Schizosaccharomyces pombe: one gene and its partner. The gene in region 2 interacts genetically with the main gene of each other region. Each region holds a gene or a part of one and is shown on either strand. Other genes may lie near its edges.

The links. Genes that interact genetically often act in the same process or in processes that back each other up.
Region 1: mutations in ach1 (region 2) and SPOM_SPBC1348.10C together harm fitness more than expected from each alone (negative genetic interaction), as found in Schizosaccharomyces pombe (one large-scale study listed by BioGRID).

Annotation. Positions count from the first base shown.
Region 1 is NC_003423.3:25,655-31,877, reverse strand, and holds SPOM_SPBC1348.10C (phospholipase), read left to right. Parts: upstream 1-3,505; coding exon 3,506-5,458; intron 5,459-5,522; coding exon 5,523-5,591; 3' UTR 5,592-5,723; downstream 5,724-6,223. UniProt on the Schizosaccharomyces pombe protein: Catalyzes the release of fatty acids from lysophospholipids.
Region 2 is NC_003424.3:4,978,809-4,987,205, reverse strand, and holds ach1 (acetyl-CoA hydrolase), read left to right. Parts: upstream 1-4,048; 5' UTR 4,049-4,306; coding exon 4,307-5,872; 3' UTR 5,873-5,991; downstream 5,992-8,397. Other genes in the region: nickel-dependent urease Ure2, read left to right, coding at 1-468; SPOM_SPAC1952.10C (uncharacterized protein), read left to right, coding at 912-1,184, 1,300-2,112; SPOM_SPAC1952.08C (pyridoxamine 5'-phosphate oxidase), read left to right, coding at 6,420-6,644, 6,720-7,067; checkpoint clamp complex protein Rad1, read right to left, coding at 7,447-8,041, 8,085-8,325. UniProt on the Schizosaccharomyces pombe protein: Presumably involved in regulating the intracellular acetyl-CoA pool for fatty acid and cholesterol synthesis and fatty acid oxidation.

The sequences.
Region 1 (6,223 bases), on a different chromosome or scaffold from region 2:
TAATATGAAAGAAGGAAACCGAAATTGAGAAAAAACTATTTTTATTTAAGTTAAAAAGAGAAGAGAGACAAATAAACCAATTTTTCAAAAGGCTTAGCAATATGAATTTGTATACTAAATGCAAAGTTATTGGTAAAAAAAAAATAGAAATATTGCTAAAAAAAGATAATCTAAGTGAATAATTTCATTAATTATTTTAATAAAAGAAGGTTTTATAATTAAAGCTTGGGATAATCTTTAAAAAAAAAAAAAAAAAAAAATTTAATCAGTTAACCTTAATCTTAATTTTTTTATTTTTTTGACTTTATTATATTAGTCAATTTTATTTTTCATAACTTTTTCTCCAATGCTTCAATTTTTTTGTAGTTATTAAAATTGGGTAAAATACATAAAAATAATCAGTTCAATCAACGACTTAGCATACAGCCTTTTTCCCTTTATGTTTAATTCGTAGGCTTTTTTAGTTTTCTTCGTTGTTATATCTTTAATCATTCCTTTTAACTATTGTTACTTTTTCAAGAATTTAAAGCTTCTTTTGTTTTTTACGTATCTGTAATGATCAAAATCAATTTGTCATTGTCAATCCTGACTTTTACAGCTTTACTTTTTTTCTTTTACTATCAACCAAAGGCAGCCCTCTCTCTTCGTTCTACATTGCTCAAAATTTTCACCATTAGTGTACTCTTCATATTTCTATCTTCTACGGTGGATATACATTAGTTTTTATCATCACGTTTAAATTGCAGAAAATAGAGCCCGACTGTAGGCAAGCTCTTAATTCAAATTTTTTCAGGCAATAATTTCTGTTCTCAACTGACGGGAAATGTATAATCATTACGAATTCGAACATCTGCAACTGAGCTCATTGATGCAAGAGGACATAAACAGTAAAATTTATATAGTTCTTCTGTAAATTTTCAAGTAATAAAAAAAGCTTTCTTTAATCATTTTATTTAATATCGATTGCTATTGTTCGCAGATCATATAACACAGCAGCCACTGAGTCTACTATCCAAGGGATTCTGTGTTGTATGCGATATCAATTGGTCTGAAATTCTCAAAAGGATTTCATTAGTTTAAAGCATTAGATCCATGTTTAATGCACATCTCTTCATTAGAAGTACGAGCTTGGCGGCTAAGCTATTGCATTTCTGAATTTCATAACGTACCTTGATAGAGCAATATTAGAGTACCTTACCACAAAGATTGTTCATTACTGCCACTAAATGTTTGAGTTTGAAATTTATCAATCAAAAATTTTGACTAACCAACCTATTTTTATACAAAACTTACCTTGACGGTAATGCTTGAATTTTGTTACTAAAATGAACGACTAAACCACTTATGAACAAGTTGAACATATCGATCTGTTTTGTAAATTATTTATACTGCGTAACAAGTTATGCTAAAACATCACGGATGAGTATTTTTAAAGCTGACGCATCAAAACGATTATAGTAAATCCGCCCATGTCAAAACGTTACTTGGAAATAAAAAGGTTATAAAAGAACACTGAAGTTAATTTTGCACTTGCCTAGCCGTACATATTGTACCATATATCTTTAACAAAAATAAATTTGTGTACGGCTTAGTATATTATGTGTTGAATAACGACAATACTTTCCATGCAGTTTTTTCGCTTTACTCTTTGCGGCATCTCATAAATAACCAAATTATGTTAAATCATACATGTAAGAAAGCTTGACAGATAAAAATAAACATAGACAAAAAGAAGCAAGAGATAATACAATACATCTCAAGTTTATTGCTCAGCTTGGTAACGTTAGGTAACGTGCTATAGAATACGTGAATTTATTTAAAACGTTATCTAAATTTTGCTGTGCAATTGAAAAGCGTCATGTAGGCAACATATTCATGAATAGAAGTTGATCAAATTGCTGATTAACAAATTCAAAAATTAGATAAAAAAAAGATTTATACCAATATAGGAATATAGTATGAGTAGATAATTCGTGAGATTAATATTTCTGTAAAAGTTAAGTTTATGTCGCATAATGTCGAGAAGCAGAACGGCAGTATAAAAGCGATACTAAACGGCGATTAGCAGTAAAAGAATATTCAACAATAATGTTAATTTTTTAATCAAGCAAATGAGAAAAAAATGAATCCAAAAATGATTAAATATAAATGCAATTATTAGCACTATCATTTTGAAACAAGTCCAAAACGACGTTGGCTACAATGACAAATATTAGAAACAGCATATTCTTGTTCAATGCTTATAGTTGGTAGTCATGAGTAGAGAATATAAATACAATGCACACGATGTAGATTTGATGTGGGTAAATGAGCAAGTAATTATTGATCGTGGAAATGAAATACGACCTATAAGCCTAAAGCATAATTGATCACTAAAAAGTGCTCTTTTATCTCCAACTTGAAGAAAAAGTAGAACAAATAAAAAGGCATCACAAGCTGCCATACAAAAACTATCAAACTTTGTTCAGCTAAATGTTTTGTGCATAACGATGATTAGGAAATTAGTGTGGAAAAGTTACAACCTTATGTACTGTTTCGGAAAGATACAGTAAAACAAACAATTCAAGAGAGATCTAAAGAGACAATCAGGTTAATGGCCTTTAATAATAAGAAATTACCGCGATGTACAACTTAAGCAGGTGTGACAAAAAGTACAAATGTACGTTCGAGCAATTAAAACTACTATTGACATATCATAAAATAATGTCAAATGTTGCAAAAAATAACAAACAAATTTGTTTTCTCGAGGTCAAGCGAAAAGATATTTACATGTATGAAAGTCGAATAATTGTGATAATAGCGAGGATTTATGAACAAAGACTACTCGAAAATACAAAACTTATTTCTCCCTAGTATATGAAGATCAAAATAACTTAAGCTAGTTGAAATGCATGCAATGTGTTAAACGTGGAATCATGAATTCGCTATGCATTTTATTGGCGTTTTCTTTTTCGTGTATCCGCGCTAGTACACTAGATTACGTTGCCTCTCACCATACATCGAATGTCCCTACTATCATCCTCCTACTTATATTTATAATCAATACGTGATCATCAGATCATTCCCTTACACGCTCCCATTTCAGATTATGCATCGTAATACTAACAAACTATTTTGTATAAGCGAAGTAATTAACTCCATTCGATGATGAGCGATCAGCTTCTGGTATTATTGTTCGCATACATATCTTGTAACATTTGTTACTCAATAGAAATTTAAGGTAACATTGATCATAAAGTAAAAGCTTGCCGTACTAAATTGTATCCGCCTAACGTTTGCGAATTTTGCAGCAAGCATTGTTTCGTATTTAAGATCACTTTTGTAGACAGATCTTGAGATAACGCGACAAATTTTGGGGCTTTTAAAGTTCGGAATTCTTTCTTCCGGATCAGAGATGTGTAGTGCGCCAGAGTAATATATGATTTAATATTCTTCCGTGTAGTACACTTTTCCATGCGAACTTCAATTTTTACAGCTTTTGTTTGAACTTTTTTTATTTTCTGCAATGTATGTCAACTATATTGGACTCTTTGCTTTCGTTCAAATTTCGTTGACGTTAGCTTATCCTCCCGGTCGTGTGGAGATTTCTGAAATATATGATTTTGAAGAATCTAGTTCGTATAAAGGACAAGATATTGATACATCCGTACTTTACACTTTGTCTAAAAGGAAACCTGCGCTCGTAAAACGAAGTACCGACGCTTCGTATGCCCCTTTCAATGTGACCTGTTCAAACGACAATCTGTTGAGGCCGGCTTCTGAAGGTTTAAATGAGGGCGAACAGAGCTATATCAACAAACGTATTTCTAAGGTTAACAGTGAACTCCGATCATTTATTTCTAAGACAGGTTTGAATGTTGACTTGGATAAGGTGGTTAACAGCTCGGATGGTCCACGTTTAGGAATTGCATTCTCAGGTGGTGGGTTACGGGCGATGGTTAATGGAGGTGGTGCATTCAATGCTTTTGACTCAAGATTCGAGAGTGACTCTCCACTTTCTGGTCTGCTGCAATCCGCGATGTATATCAGCGGTCTTTCTGGTGGTTCATGGCTTGTTGGATCAGTGGCTATTAATAATTTTACGAATATAACATACTTACGTGATAATGTCTGGAATTTGGAACATAGCGTTTTTGCTCCTCATGGGGATAATGTCATTGAAAATTTGAATTATTATAATGACTTGCGCAAAGAAATTGATCAAAAGAAACATGCGGGCTTTGACTGTTCTTTGACGGATTTATGGGGACGTGCTTTGTCCCGTAAACTTGTTGATGCTGAAAGGGGAGGACCAGGCATTACATATTCCAGTATGAGAAATCAAAGCTGGTTTCAAAATGCTGATTATCCTTATCCCATCATCGTTGCGGATAGCCGATTAGAAGAAGAAACGGCCATCCCTGCCAATACCAGTATCTTTGAGTTCACGGCGTATGAATTTGGTACATGGGACAATGGAATTAAAGCATTCATTCCAATGGAATATGTGGGAACTCACTTGTTGGATGGGGTTCCACCCGATAAGTCTTGCATTCATAACTATGATAATGCAGGTTTTGTTATGGGCACTTCAGCTACTTTATTCAACTCTTTTCTTCTTGACTGGAATGAAAATGTCAAAAAGAATGATACCTATTACGATATTCTTCATGCGATTCTTGAAGATCTTTCTAAGCATCAAGATGATATTGCTCCTTATCCCAATCCTTACCAAAATTATACTACTTCCAATACCTCTGTAGTGAATGCGTTCGAACCGTATGATACTATTGATCTAGTTGATGGTGGTGAGGATAGGGAAAACATTCCCCTTTGGCCTTTGTTACACCCACAACGATTTGTGGACGTTGTATTTGCGATTGATTCGACTTATAATGATCCTTATGGTTGGCCCCTTGGATCTTCCATTGTTGCTACATATGAGAGAGTTGTAACCTTTAATGCGAACAAGAGTGTTGATGTGCGTGGATTTCCATATATTCCGGACGAAAACACTATTATCTCTTTGGGACTAAACACTCGTCCTACGTTTTTTGGATGTGACGGTAAAAATACTACAGCAGGAAATCATGATGTAGACAATAATACCCCACCTCTCCTTGTATACTTTCCAAATTACCCTTGGACTTATTATTCCAATATATCGACATTTACTATGAGCATGGACGACAAGATGGCTAATGGAATTCTTGAGAATGCATTTATGTCGACTACGCAAAACAATAATGAATCTTTTGCAGTTTGCTTAGCATGCGCTATAATTCAACGCTCTTTGGAACGCAAGAAATTGAGTACTCCTACCCAGTGCTCTTCTTGTTTCCAAGAATACTGTTGGGACGGAACTCTTGCAACTAGTACGGCTTCTGTATATGATCCTACCGTAATGTCTGCTGCGACAACATCTCGTGCACCGTCAGGCACAACCTCGGGTACAGCCTCTAGTACAACATCTTCATCTGTATGTTCTCAAAAATTCACGTTGATTAAACTATTTTTTTTTTCATCGCTAACTTTTGTTCTAGGTAGCATCAGCCACTCCCACTCATAAACATTGGTGGGACTCGATTTTCGAAGCGAAAGAAAATCCGTAAAAAGATTCCATTGATGTTGTTTCAATGGATTCTCAGGCATGTGAGAAATTTAGAATAGATAGATTTACCTTTATTGTACTTGGTTACGAATTCGTTATGAAAGAGAACTAAGGATTTTCCTCATTCGTGAGACTGCTCAGTTAAACCCTTTACGTTTGATGGAGCTATGTAAACGGGTAAATGAATAATTTGTTATCTCTAAACTTTTTTAGATAAATGCAACCGGTCGAATGGATGAACAGGCTTAGTTGGCTCAATCTGAGATCGATGTGCATTCACGTAAAGACACGAAACGAAAGAATGTAAGCATGAAAACGATTAAATACAACATTGCTTTAAATTGATATATACGTACAATTGGGAATCACAAGTTGAATGAAAAATAGTCCAAGATCGTTGTGCTAATGATGAACATTAAATGATAGATTGTTTTAAAAGCTCCCGGTTTTTTAAAAAATAGATAATAATAAAATTGACTACAAACATTTAAAAGTAAGACAGAGACTTGTTAATTCAATATATGAGGAGTCACTACTAAATATTTTACTGTATTTTGAAACTTCCTAAAGGAAGGAAACTAAATAAATGCTGAAAGATTTATCAACAGTTTGGTACAAAAAACAGTAAAAGAG
Region 2 (8,397 bases):
AACCCTGCAATTACTCATGGAATTTCTCATATTGTTGGTTCTGTGGAGATAGGCAAGTTTGCTGACCTTGTCTTATGGGACTTTGCTGACTTTGGGGCAAGACCCAGTATGGTGCTGAAAGGAGGAATGATTGCATTGGCCTCTATGGGTGATCCAAATGGATCGATTCCAACGGTTTCTCCCCTCATGTCCTGGCAAATGTTTGGTGCACATGACCCCGAGAGGAGCATTGCATTTGTTTCCAAGGCCTCTATAACATCCGGTGTTATTGAAAGCTATGGACTTCATAAGAGAGTTGAAGCCGTAAAATCTACGAGAAACATTGGGAAGAAAGACATGGTTTACAATTCATATATGCCAAAAATGACTGTTGATCCAGAAGCTTACACAGTTACTGCAGATGGTAAAGTTATGGAATGTGAGCCTGTAGACAAACTTCCACTTTCCCAGTCTTATTTTATCTTTTAATTATTTAGATTTTGATTAAGGAAGATAATGCGAGTTTAATTAATATGAAATTTTGTTTGTAAATTTCTTTACAGTTGTTTGAGGCCGAGAAATTCCATATCAAATTTTAAAAGACCAATTACTATTTAAGTTTATAAATATAATATACTCCCGCTTATGAGTTGGTGGATCAACCTTGTTTGCTTACTACCCACGTTTTTGCTTTAAGGTTATATAATTCTTTTCAAACACTAACAAATATTTGTCACAAATTCATATACTATAAACATTCAGAAAAGTTGTATTTGAGCTAGTGTACAGTCGTATTCGTTAAGTCAGAGTGAACTTCGTCGCTTACCAAAGCGGTAAACAACACCTACAATCAACGTTCGATGAGCCTAAGTGACTAAGCTGTGAAGAGATTAAGACTTTCATGAAAGCGTTATTAATAATTTCTTTTAATCATGAAAAAGTTCTTGTCATTCAAGCCTGCTGAAGACTTCCTTCGATCTCTTAAAAAATCATCACAATGGTTTCTGCTGATCATTATTGTCGAGGTTACCATTACATTATCTTTTGAAGGATATGTTTTTCATCATTTTCGTTTAATCACAGTCGAAAAAATTGATGTCTTTATAAATGCTATGGTGCCGTCTACATTTGCACTGTTTTGTATGGCATGTCCCTATTTACTTTATACGGCTGTAGATGCATTATTAAACAAGGATGTAATACAGGTAAGTTAATTGTCTCCAAAAAAAGCTAAAATGGCATTGTTTGTCTTTTGTCGATTCATATGGTTGACGCACTTGAGATCTAAACCAATTCAAGCTAACCGAATTATACGTTTAGATGTCAGCACTTCTTATCTTTCATGTAAGCCTTTTTTGCCTATCTGTTGTCCAATATTTTCAAATATTTTCAAAAGACCCCAGAGCGATTTTCCTCTCCGCTTTATACTTAATAGATCCCATTCGCCTCGTCACATCATTTAACTATCACGAAAGAATAGTTGTTAATTCTCATATGTTGTTATTTTATCTGAAGCCATTTGTAATCGCTCTTCCGGTGCTAATCGGCGTTACTTGTATCTTGCTGAGCTTCTTGGTTTACAAAATGAACAAAGCATTTGGATGGATTATGTATCAGCAGCATGGTCCTGATCTTCGAATGAGAAGAAGGTATCTCGTATACAAAATATTCATGTCCTTAATTAAGTCGGACTATTATTTTTGCCTAACGGCTACTGTTCAATATGCTATCTTCTTTTCTACCATAAGTCGTGTTGGGCTAGCACTAACCATTCTTGTCTTCCCCTGTACAATCGCAACTTTGATGACCTGTAGGTATGCTGTTTACAGAGAAAATCGTGCATTGTTAGGGATTGTACAGTTTATGTTTATGTGTGGACTTGCATATTTTATTTACAACTGTGCTAGGCTATACCTAGGCGTCGACTATGGGGATATTGCTGTTGCAAATATTTGTATGTTGGTGTTTTCAATAGTCACCATAATTTATTTGTTCACAACCATAGTCGTAGGGTTTTATTGCATTTCCAACTTCGGTTATGGTCTTAGGGAATATTTACGCTATATCCATCAAAAGCAAAAAGTCAATGCGGCTCCTGCTGTTCCTAAAGTTCGCATGCCATTGGACGACTGAGAGCTCTCTTTCTTTTGGCATTCTAAAAATGTGTTTTCTTGTTGTTTATCAATGTTCCTCATCTCTCTGTCCTAATCATCGTTTGTTTTCTTACGCCTGTTGAATTTACTGTTTTCCATTTCGTGTTTCCTTGCATTCCTTGGTAGGTGAATATTTTGTGCTCCGATCTCTTGTACTGTGTTTTTCCTTCATTTGACCTTTAATACATATCTTTTTTGTCTTTGTTAAAATTTATTGCTTTCGGTCCTTCTTTTGAAAGCTCAGTCTTCTTGCCTATAATTCACAATTTGAAAAAAAAAAAAAAAAAAATCTCCTAATTCATGCTTCATTGCTCATATCATTGCTATTATTAAAAACAAAATTCTCAACATGCTATTACAATGATTTAGTTGAGTAAACATTTTGAGCTGGTTCTTTTCTTATACAGGAAAAAAGGTGATAGCTAATTGGAGTTGACCATTTCCTTACGGAAGTTTTAGAACGAATATATCGTTCTGTGGCCTACAAGGATTTTAAGTCAAAAAATTCTATCATTTTTCTGGTTAAGAAGGAATGTTTATTAGTTGTTAACTCACACTTGTGATATTGTTGATTGTAGTGATTGAACCGTTTCTTTAAAAGTTTTTTGAATGATCTGAACTAATTTGATACAAATAGTTAAGTCTAGTCTTTTCTGTTTATTAATAATCCTAATTTATTAATAATGCTAATAAATAAATTAATTGTATAACGTAAACATATATTTTTATTTATATACCGCGTTTGAATAATAATACCCAGTTTTGGGACAATAATGGGATACCGTTCCTAATTACCTCCATAATTTGATTTCTTGTTTTAATATGACGATATATCGTACTAAGTCATTGCTGCCTTCTGCCTCTTAATTCTGACTTAAACTGAAAAACAAAATATTTCGTGATTTATCGTTATTAATTATTTAGCAGGATTTCTACAAAATTTGTTATAGAAATTACAACGTAAGCAAGCATTCTCGGCACTATCTTTTTACCGTAATTTGCCTCACTCCCTTATACGTACTGCATTTGTTTTGATTCCCTACCTGCTTGAATGTGCGATTCCAATGAATGACCCTCCATAGGCTCTAGGTGAAACCTTATTTTACACATATAAAACAAGGTGAATTCCATTTCAACACTTGAATTCCTAACCTAACAACTACCATCCATAAGTATTTTGGTATATTTACAAAAATTGAGTGTAATTCACTCTTATAATCGATACTTCTGATTGTCATTAGCGTCGTTGAGATCAAAACAAAACAATTTCCAGGATTTTGAAATTTGGCTTTTAAACAGCTGAATCTTTGGTTATTTTGTTGAAGTTTCTTTGATTTAATATCTTTTCACCCCCCTTTCACCTCTATTCAGTTTAATTTAATCATTTGACTCTTTCTTCTTGCATCGGTTCGTTCGTGTTCGCTTTACTACTAACTTACCTACCTACATTTGTTCTCCTTATCCTTAATTCTTTTACAGATATAACAAAACGTCTGCCAAAGTCAACACACTCGGGTTTTGTCATTTAATAGGGCAAAACGCTACTCTACTTGGGATTTTCATTATATTTACTCTCATTCATATTCTTCCGTTTCTGTGACTAAATCACCATAAAAAAACACCTTCCTTCCCCGGAAAACAAATAAGCAAACAACACTTTTTTTCGAAACACATTGTTTAAACAAAGTTTACGCCCTTTTATTATTGAAGATTTTCACCCGGTCAACCTTTTACCCTTTTCCTATTTCGCAAATTCTGTCTCTTTTTTTCGTCACAATTTTGGTCTACTTTGCTAAAATCAAGTCGCGCATACATTCATCATTCCGGCTTTTTTTTTGCAATCATCATTCCATATCTTACCGATATCTGTGATCCTTGGGTTTGTAAATCTGTTACTGAGCAGTTACATATTTGTCACAAGAACAACCACTTTTGGTTGATTCATTTTCTTATTTAAAAGTAAAAAAGAGTGTACATTCAACAAATTAAAATTATCTTTTAAGCCCAAAAAAGCGTTTTTGAGCATATTCTGATTATTTATCTGTCGCCCAGATTCTTCATTGAAAGATTTCTTTTTCTTTTCTTTTTTTTCTTGTTTTATCGCTTTTGAATTTGACTTTTACTAGTTCAACGTTTTAATATTTCCTTCCTCTTCTCTTCTTTTTGTTGATACAATGCCGTCTCTTCTGAGTTCACGCATTCGCAATGCCGAATTTGCCAAAAAAATTGTTACGGATCCTGCCAAGTTGGTTCCGTACTTTAAAAATGGGGACTATGTTGGTTGGTCTGGTTTTACTGGTGTCGGTTATCCTAAAATGATTCCAAACGCGTTAGCAAGACATGTCGAAGAGAACAATTTGCAAGGAAAATTGCGTTTTAAATTGTTCGTTGGTGCCTCGGGAGGTGCTGATACGGAATGCAAGTGGGCTGAATTGAATATGATTGAGCGCCGGTGTCCTCATCAAGTAGGAAAGCCAATTTCTAAAGGAATTAACTCTGGCAGAATTCAGTTTTTCGACAAGCATTTATCCATGTTTCCCCAAGATTTACTTTATGGCTACTATACTCGTAATCGTGAAAGTAATACAATTGACACAGCCATTATTGAGGCCACAGCCATTACCGAGGACGGCGGAATTGTTCCCGGCGCATCAGTTGGTGCGAGTCCGGAACTTATGCAACTTGCGGAAAAGATTATCATCGAGGTGAACACTGCCATTCCTTCTTTTGAAGGACTTCATGACATTGTCGAAATTCCCAACCCCCCACATCGTACTCCAATAAACATCAATCGAGTTGACGATCGTATTGGAAAGCCATACATCAAAGTGGATCCCAAAAAGGTTATTGGAATAGTGGAGGCTGATTATGGAGACATCACATGCGCTAACTCTCCGCAAGATGAGACTTCGCAGGCTATTGCAGGCCATTTAGTTGACTTTTTCCATCATGAAGTATCTGTAGGGCGTCTTCCCAAAAATCTTCATCCTTTGCAATCCGGTATTGGAAACATTGCCAACGCTATTATCGGTGGTCTTGCCCATTCTCCCTTTAAAGATCTCGAAGTGTGGACAGAAGTCTTACAAGATACTTTCTTGCCTCTCTTTGACTCTGAAAAGTTACGTTTTGCTACTGCTACCTCAACCCGTTTTTCTCCTCAGGGATTTGAAAAATTCTACTCAAACTATGATTACTACAAGGAAAGAATTTTGTTACGCCCTCAAGTAATTTCCAATCACCCTGAAATTATCCGCCGTCTTGGTTGCATCGCTATGAATACTCCTGTGGAAGCCGATATTTACGCTCATGCCAATAGTACAAATGTTTTGGGAAGCAGAATGTTGAACGGTTTAGGTGGTTCTGCTGATTTCTTGCGTAATGCGAAATTAAGTATTATGCATACACCATCGGTTCGTCCTTCGAAGAAGGATCCTACTGGTATCACTTGTATTGTTCCTATGGCTACCCATGTTGACCAAACCGAACATGATTTGGATATTTTGGTTACAGAGCAAGGATTGGCTGATTTACGAGGCTTGTCTCCTACCGAACGTGCTCGTGAGGTTATTGACAAGTGTGCTCATCCTGACTATAAGCCTCTGCTCAGAGAGTATTTCGATATTGCCGAAAACTACTGTTTAGCTAGAGGAGCTGGTCATGAACCCCATATTCTTGCCAATGCTTTCAAGATGCAGCTCAACCTTTTAGAAAAAGGAACGATGAAGATCGATCATTGGTAAATTTAGTTATCAGTTGTTATAGCCACTTTTACTCTTTCTAAGGGTTTTCCAAAACCTTGTTACGACTAAAATACAGCTTCTTCGTGCTGTTATGACTTAATGTATTTCATTTTTACATTAATTTAATTTACGAAATAAAAAAAATCCGTATACTAAAATTAGTGTTTATAAGTTAAGGAAATTAGTTTTGAGTAAGTAAATCCAACAATCATAATGCGTATGAATTTTCCAAGATACACAGAAATGAGCGCGTTTATTTTATGAGCAGTATTCCTTTGAAGATTATTAATCTTTAGTTCCCCTGCAAAATTCGTAAGTTGGCTGTTTAGTACATACCTCTATATTACGTTGAGTTGTGAGTCAGCATTTCTGCTATTAACCTAGTATCAAACCTGCTTACTCAGAGAGGAGTACCACCAAAATTTAGGAAAGGATAATCAAGTATAGAAATTATCGTACAGTTTTGTCTGGATCAATAGTTTCCATTCACCAGTATTTATTCTGCAAATTATAATCTTTGTCGCACCACAATAACCTGAAAGTAAATATGGCCTCAAAAGTCGATTCATCTCATGAGTTCCCCAGCCAAATCAAGAGATGCTTGTCCTCATCCAAATATATTCAACTAGCTACTTGCTTTCATGATCAGCCTCACTCTTCTTTGATGACATTTACCTATTTACCTGCAGGAAGCGCTGCCCCTTACGAAGTGGAGGATTGCATTATTTTGTCAACAGGAGAAAACAGTAAAAAATATTTTAACATCAGTTCGGTATGTATCATATTTAAAAGTTTAACTTATCCTTGATCCTGATTGGTATTTTCTTTTTTCTAACATGATGACTAGAATCCTCGAGTATCATTACTAGTTCATGACTGGACCACTAATCGTCAAGAAACAGATCCTGATGCCTCCTCATTGTACACCTTACTTTATAAAATGAATCAGGCTCAGTTCTCGAATACATCAGTGACCTTGAATGGCCTTGCTACCGTTCTTCCAAAGAATAGCAAAGAAGAGGAATTCTTTAGAGAAAAGCATTTAAACACTAATGACAAGGGTAATACGAAACAATACGTGGAGGGTGAGGATATGAGAATTATCAAGATAAAGTTGGAAAGTGCGAGAATTTGTGATCAGAGACTCAACAACGTCCAAAAATGGAATGCAAGAGGAGATGAGACTCCATTTTGAGTAAACAAATGTTTTATGAGTGTCACTTTGCATTTTCTATTTTTTAAAAATCAATAATGTTTGAAGAATTTTTGAATGCTTCGTAGATCTAACCATAATGTATAATCGTGTGTATGATACATGGGAATTTTGTTGGCTACATGCTTTGCTAGACAGCCTAGTGGAAAGCGTCTTGTTTATACGTGTGTTAAATAAGCATAGAAAAAGTGAGGAAACGGTGTGACTTTAAGCTACCTAAATAAGACCAAACAAAAAGCAGGGAAATAAATCATGATTCGTTGAATAAGTGTATTATCATAAGTTGTTCAGTATCAATTGTACCTTTTTCTTTTTTTGAAGTTATCGGAAACACTAAAGTGCTGAGTGCTAAAATTATCATTTAGCTATCCTCATCCTCGGTCTCCGCATCTCCTCGATAATTCGGATCGTTTCGTAAAACGTTATTGTCCGACTGATTAGATTCTGCTGGTTCTTCTTCTTCATCCTCCTCCTCATCTTCACTTACAAGGTCCAAAGGAACAATACAAAAGTCTACAAACGTACAAAGCCCTTCTTGACCGACAAGCATGATTTGAATGCTCAAAGTTCCATTTTCATCAATACGTAGGTTTACTTTAGAACCCACTTGTAATGCTTTCAGCGCATGTCTTATTAATGAGAAGCGGTAGGAATAAGTGTTTTCAGAATCAGTTTCAAAAGACTCTAAAACACTTTTCTCGTTTGGATATTCTATTTCCGTAGTGGATAATGCCCCTACACATCTCAATAAGAAGGTTGATTTTTGGGATGATGTATGAATAATTAAATTTTCGCCCATGTTATTGTCTAATTCCACCAAGGCATCATATAGCCAGTTACTTTTCATAATGATCTTCGTGCACAATGTGCTTGCAAGTCTATTGATGTCAACGTCGTCCTCACATTCCATAGTCAACAGTTCACAAGCCGTAGCATAACCAGCCATTTCCTCTACTCTTTATTTTTGTCAGTACAGAATGTTAATGATAAAATCCTTACTCCCATATAAATGGACAGCCGGGTCCATTATACTGTACTTTGCAGATAACGCCTCGTTTGTGCATTATGTTTACAGTGGGTTGATCCCAGGCACTAGTTGAAATCCGTTCTTTTCCATCTGTATAAATTGATAATGATTGTAAAAGAGGTGAAATCATCGTCTGGAACATATATGTATCCCCATCTGAATCACCCTGAAAATTAAACGTTTGAAACAACGACTTATCAAGAAAGGCGTGAGCTTAATGTGTGAGTGAACAATAAAGAAAAAGTGAATGCATTTCAAGAATCGCATTAATATATGAAACTTTAT